Linked DNA regions of Xenopus tropicalis. The protein of the gene in region 1 interacts with the protein of each later gene in a pairwise test. Links are inferred from orthologs where the notes say so. Each region holds a gene or a part of one and is shown in the gene's direction. Other genes may lie near its edges.

Region 1 (3,519 bases):
GTTGTTTTTCTGTGACCTGACCAGACAATAACATAGTTCAGATTATGTGTTATCATTGTTGTGTTTTGAGTAAATATCAAACATTTTGCTTGGGAAGAAACTAACTAGCAGAGATATAAACACACAGTAGAGTGTTAGTATTGGCATTAGGCAAGTTTGCTTCCATTTTCACCATGTGACTGTCATGAGTAGGTCTGACTCTGCTTTCATTGGATCATGTGCTTCTGATGGCAGTTTCTCTTTCCCACAAACATGTTATTTTGGCTTGAGGAATTAAAATGGTGGATTTTCTGACTAAATGTAATCCTTTCTGTTTTTATTTGTAGAGTCTAGCTCAGCTAGAGATCCTGTGCAAGCAGCTGTATGAGACTACAGATACCAGCACCCGGCTGCAGGCTGAGAAGGCGCTTGTGGAGTTCACTAACAGCCCGGAGTGTCTAAGCAAATGCCAACTGTTGCTTGAGAGGGGAAGTGTACGTATGGGGCAACTGGGGCTTTTCCTTGGAGTGGGGGTTACAGTTTGTAATAATTCATGTAAGATAGGGAAAGGTAAATGTAGGTTACACAGGGCAGGATAGGAAGGCAAGAGGGCGTATATGTGCACGTGTGGAACTGTGCGGTTATGTCCCGCCAAGCTGCTGCTTGCACTAACTATCTCTCCAATAGCAAGTGGGGCTATTGTGGGTGCTACATTGCTAGCAAGTTGGTCAGAATCTCAATTTAGCATTCCTGTGTAATTGTTTAATGCAGGAATCCCCAAACTTCTTTACCTGTGAGCCACACTCTAATAAAAAAAAATATTTGGGGAGCAACACAAGTGTGAAAATGTTCATGAGGTTTCCAAATAAGGATTGGCTATTTCATAGCCGTGATTGGCTATTTGATAGCCCCTATATGGACTGACAGCCCACAGAAGGCCCTATTTGGCAGTACAACTGGTTTTTATGCAACCAAAACTTGCCTCCAAGCCAGAAATTCAAAAATAAGCCCCTGCTTTGAGGCCACTGGGAGCAACATCCAAGGGGTTGGGGAGCAACATGTTGCTCACAAGTCACTGGTTGGGGATCACTGATTTAATGTATGTGTGTAACATATGGGTGCCTCCTTGAAAGGTATTTCAACCTATTGGTGGGCTTCCTGCACAGAGATGCATAACAGTGCACAAGTAAATGGAGGCACCTAACGAGTTCAAACCCGGACAAGGTGTAGTCAGCTTTGTCTCACTGCAAACTGTTTTTAACAAAACAATTGACTTAAAGGCTGAAATGTGCTGCTTGGCCATCCCAGTGTATGGCCACATTGCGCAACATTTGTAAGGCCCAAATTGTCTGAAAACCTTAAAGGGGCAGTTCACCTATAAGGTAACTTAACGTATGTTATAGAATTCCTGGCAACTTTTAATAGTTTTTGAGTTAGTTGCCTTCCACTTCTGACCAGCTTTCTGACCGCAGCAGCCAAAAAACAATTACTCTTTAAAGCTTTGATTTTATTCTGATTTTGTATTAGTTATCTTTGTATTGAGACCCTCTCCTATTTTTTTTCCAGTTTCTCATTCAAACCACTGTCTGGTTGGTAGGGTGATTTGGACCAAAAACCACAAATAATAAAAAGTGAAGACCATTGCATATTATCTCAGAATAGCAGTCTTTACATCATACTAAAAGTTACAAGAAAGTGGATTTAATGGAGAACATGCATATAACTGTACTATAGTGGTGTAAAGTGTGGAAACAGTTGTCAAAGCTCATATAATGATCTATGGGTTAGTAATATTTTTCACATACAAATACTTATTTTTTTTTTTTTTGCTTCTTTTCTCAGTCCTCATACTCTCAGTTACTGGCCGCCACCTGCCTCACCAAATTGGTGTCACGAAGCACTAACCCCCTCCCTCTGGAGCAAAGGATTGACATCCGTGAGTATCAGCAGCTTGTCATGTGTTTCTTTCTAAGATTCAGTTTCCATATCACTGGGGGGCAGGGACTGAAACAGATGAAATTTAAATGCTTTTGCCTGTACATTATTACATTAGTCTAATAGTTCTAAAAGAGTTCCTTAACAGGTTATTGATACTGGTTCCGTCTATAGATAATTATGTCTATGTGGACCCCCTTATTTTCCTATTTTATTGTCTGCAAGGTGGCATTTTCCCCCCTTTTCCTCATCTTGAGTGCCTGTAGACTCTCTGAATCCAAATAACCTGTAAAGGATGCTACTGCAAACCCCAAAAAATAAATGGTTGCCTAATAAAAGAAATTGTTATTCTAAGCCTCTTCTCCAGTATCCATTCATTACAGATTTTCAGCGCTTATAGTTATTTGTAAATGTATTTGCTATTGAAAGCTGCATTTGCTTAAAGGGGTTGTTCACCTTCAAGTTAACGTTTAGTACGGGAGTCCTCAAACTATGGCTTGCGGGCCAAGGTCATTTACCCGGCCCCTGCTGTGTCCTCACACCTGGCTACTACCTGTCCATCATCATTAACGTTGGCCTGTGTGACATGACACCCTGGGGCCGAGGACCACGCTGAGGCAGACAGTAAGTAGCCAGGGGTGAGGACTCAGCGGGGGGGGGGGGAGGGCCCATAGTTTGAGGACTAGCTATAGTCCGGCCCCCCAGCAGTCTGAGGGACCGTGAACTGGACCCCTAAAAAGTTTGAGGACCCCTGGTTTAGTATGTTATAGAATGGCCTATTCTTAGAAACATTTTAATTGGTCTTACTATAGTTTTATAATTATTTACAACCTTCTTCTTCTGACCCTTTCAAATGGGGATCACTTACACCAGGAGCCCATAAAACAGTTGTTCTGAGAGGCTACCTCATTACTAGGGTCATTTGGACCCAAAGTAACCAGAAAACTGCTAAAATTCCACACTGGAGAGTGGCTGAACATAAAGCTAAATAATTCAAAGACTGCAAAAAATAATAAAAGTAATAAAAAATTAAGACCATTTTCAAATCGTATTAGAATATTACTCTTCTACATCATACAAACAGTTTATTCAAAAGTGAACAACCCCTTTAACTACTGGTTATTACTTTTTAAATAATGTTGCAAAGACAGATCTACAATTGGAAAGAATTTTTTACACCAGCACACCCTTACCTCCTCCAGAGAATTACTACTTGGTGCACAGCCTAGAGTCGGCACTCTCCACACAGTCCGGTCAAAATATTTCAGCCAGCACAACAAGTAAAGTGCAAGCAGGGCTTAGCCTGGCGAAGGGGTACGCCCCCGAAACGTTGCTTTTTGAATAAACGCGCAGGGGCTAAGCCCTGCTTGCACTTTACTTGTGCTGGCTGAAATATTTTGGCAAAGACAGATCTGTCACTCGGCTGCCTTGTGCCACATTGTTTCAAAAGTCAGGGCCACCAGGGCAGAGAATAGAAAGAGACAGACAAACACTGTTATCAATTGTAATTACATATACAAAACATAACTTAAAAACACCTTGAACAATTGTAATGAATGTATATGTGTATAACACAATTGGGTACTTCTCTGCTGGCTTAAAAAA
Region 2 (3,519 bases), on another chromosome or scaffold:
ATTTTAAAACTGGTCAAATCACCTATGCCTACCAATCACCATGTAGCATTCACTGGACACCTGTTTAAAAGCATTGATCTTATTGGTTGCTATGGGTTACAATGCCTGGGCAATTTTTTGCGCTCTTAATTTCGTATTGAAGTATATATGTAAACTATAGTGAGTGACTCGCTGCAGGTAAGTTAGCTTGGAAAGTATTGTAAATGTCTGTATGGTAAGGTGTTGGATTTTAGGGTATTTGACTGTCAGTAATGTAGTAATGTGCTTAGTTTCCAACAAAATCTCTGACCAACTGTAGTCATTTTCATCTCTTTGAGGTAGCTATTTGCTTTGTTAATAAATCCCTGTTTAAATTTAGCCTTAATGAACATTTTAGTTCAATGCTTAGTTTAAGGCTTTTTGGATCAAAAACCAATTTAATTTTATATTTGTTAAATTAGGAAATATGGTTTATACTGCCAAATGTCTAAATGATTCATATTTTATACCTTTGGTTTTGTTAAAACTGATATATATCTAATCATCCTTTTCTAGATCCAGAAGCTGTGCGACAGGGTTGCCTCTGCCACTCTACTAGATGATCGAAGAGATGCAGTACGAGCCCTCAAATCTTTATCAAAGGTTTGTCTCATATTTTTTGTCCAGTGATGTGTTATTATGACCCTAAATTTGGATATATGTGAGCACTGTTTATGATTAATGCAGTCAGTTTACACACACATGTTTGCACTAAGGTCCTCAAGATCCAAGACTTAATTCCTGAAGGTTTTAGTTCACTCTGCACATAAAATTGTAAGATTTATGTTTCTTTATTTCTCCATGGCAACTGTTAAAGGGGTGGTTCACTTTTTCTGCTTCTTCCTCTTCTGCCTTTCTAGCTCTCAAATGAGGGTCACTGACCCCATCAGCCAAAAACTATTTCTCTGCTATTTTAAAGGTGAACTACCTCTTTAAATGTTAAGTTGCTATTTGCTAGTCTCCTATAAATTTCTTTTGCTTGGTTCCATATTTCAGACTCAAACTTAAGATCATGTATGAGACACAAAAAGGCTTGCCCCTGTCTATGTCCTTGTATGCATGCTACTGGATTAATTAGCCAAGAGGATTTTCATATCTATATGTTATCAGATCTTACATTTCAAAAATTAAACGTTGACTATATGAGACACATATGCAATACTGGCTTAAAACAGTCTCAAACCTAATAACATAGGTAATTATTTGTAGCAGTTTATATAGTGCTTTGCAAATTTTTTGTCCTATTTCCACCATAACATCATTCAGGTCTTCTATATAGATGTTGTGATGGGTTTTTATATTATTGTCTGAGAACTCCCTCAGCTGGAGTTCTTCAGGAGACAGCTGGGTTGATAGGTGAGAAGAGTCATTGTAGATAAAGTTTAGAGCATTTATCTGTAGTAATTGGCTTGACAGACATTAGTTACTGTTATTCTGTTGGCTATTTTGCAGTCCCTCTTCCCTCAGAACTTAATCATTGCTGTATCTGTTTATGTCTGTTGCAGATCTAACACATCTGCATTAGATATTATATATATATATATGTTATTGTTTATTTCTCCTCAACCAGAAATACCGCTTCGATGTGGCCACTCAAGCTATGGATCATCTTATTAATGTTCTACAGACAGACCGGTAAGCTATCAGTCATCTCAGAATAAAGGAAATATGGCTAAACAAGGTGTTTTAATATATTAACCTAGTCCCCAGTTTTTGGACAGTGTATATCAGTCTATTGTTGCAGGTCTGTCCAGACTGAAAAGTGTCTTTTGCCTATGTGTGTTTTTGGCATTGGTGAGAGTTAATTGCTTGAAGTGCCCGGGTCTGCAAATTAGTGTCATGCCATGCCAAGTGACCAGATCACATGCCAAACTCTAGCTTGGCAAAATGTGGCTTGGTTCATTAACCAATTTAACCATAGCAACGGACTTTTGCTATCATCTTATTTACTGGCCAAAACTTTTATTCATGAATAGAGCACTTGCATACAATCTTCAAAACAAACTAATAGGTGCTATGCAATTGGCACTTCCAGGAGCTGCTTTGGATACAAGGACCTCAGCACTATTTTTGGCTGCAGCTGTACATGTAGGTTGTAATGACCCACTTATATGTTAAAAACAAGCCCTTTGGGAATGTAGAGATATTTTTCTATAGGTTTTTAATACATTGTTATATTAGTGTAGCTAGAATCAAGGAAAGGATGTACTTGTACAAGAACATTTTTTGGGGGGAAATTATTCTATTTGTGTTTAGTAAGAAGGAAATTAGCAAAAACTCTTTCTGGTTAGACTTATCTGACCTTAATGTTTTACTTTCAGTTCCGACTCGGAAATAATTGGTTATGCTTTGGACACTTTATACAATATAATGTCAAATGACGCAGATGAAACAGGTAAGAACTTTATTCTTTTTAGTATAGTCCTCATGTGGTGTTTCTATATCTTACATATGTTGCACCTTTTTTGTTTAGCTATTCTTATTTCACATTGATTTGTCTTTATCCAAAGCACTTGAATAATACTGGGCAGTTAACAGAAAGCGCCTGTCTGTTATGTAACCAGATATGCATTGTATTATCTATCCTCGCTTTAGGAATTTTGGTTAGGAAAATATTGGCACAAAATAGAATGTCAAATGCTCTACACTATTATAGGACAAGTGTGTCTGCCAGAAGCAGGAATTTTCCCTAGGAAGTTCCCAGTTACAAAATGCATCACTATTCCTCCTGTTATAATAAAAGGCAGATTATTATTTTTTCCCAAGTATTTAATATGTATATTTATTAGAAGGATACCGTACATTCTTTAAAAAGTTGACACAAGGGTATTTCTTGCATTGTGGTGATAGCAGATCATGCTTAATTTGGTGTACATACCACACTAACCATGAGCTTCTATCCAGTCTAGTCACCTATGTCTAGATCACCTTAAAATCTAGTTTATTTTCTGCACAATTTCTCATGGGTTATTGAGTTTATCTTTATTCTGCTTTATTATAGCCATCCTTTAAAATAGGACTTCCTAAACTAAGGGTTGGGAACTAAAACGTGTTCCTCATGCTTTATAGAGTGAATTGTCATTCTCAAAATAGAATCATTTTAAGCCAAAAGTGCTTAGGCTTCCCTTTGTGGTAAAAAATGTCGGGCCCCCTTAGCTCATAACAGGGTGATAGATATAGAAAACAACTCTATCCTGTAGGTCCAGGGATATCTAAGATATCAAAGTCAATTAATATTATCATTAACTTACATATAAACATATTCTACAGCATTTTACAGAGAATATTATTCACTTCAATTCCCCTCCCAGGGCCATGTTTACTAACATTGACGACAAATATCGTTGGTGATATACTTTTGTTTTCTAACATATAGGTGACTGTTTAAATCTAATTGTTGATTGATTGCTATGGGAAACATCAATTGTATTAATTGCCAATTTTAGTAAACACTCTATTAAGTCCCTCTTACATTTATACAAACTATGGTCGATTTGTTTT

Evidence for each region. The genes of interacting proteins can lie anywhere in the genome.
Region 2: the proteins of xpo7 (region 1) and uso1 interact in binary tests that used the Homo sapiens proteins (3 or more experiments, as listed by UniProt). The two-hybrid records come from large-scale screens. The link is inferred for Xenopus tropicalis from reciprocal best matches to the Homo sapiens genes XPO7 and USO1.

Annotation. Positions count from the first base shown.
Region 1 is NC_030679.2:129,471,551-129,475,069, forward strand, and holds part of xpo7 (exportin-7), read left to right. Parts: intron 1-326; coding exon 327-473; intron 474-1,821; coding exon 1,822-1,915; intron 1,916-3,519.
Region 2 is NC_030677.2:79,457,720-79,461,238, forward strand, and holds part of uso1 (general vesicular transport factor p115), read left to right. Parts: intron 1-534; coding exon 535-621; intron 622-1,588; coding exon 1,589-1,653; intron 1,654-2,339; coding exon 2,340-2,413; intron 2,414-3,519. UniProt on the Homo sapiens protein: General vesicular transport factor required for intercisternal transport in the Golgi stack; it is required for transcytotic fusion and/or subsequent binding of the vesicles to the target membrane.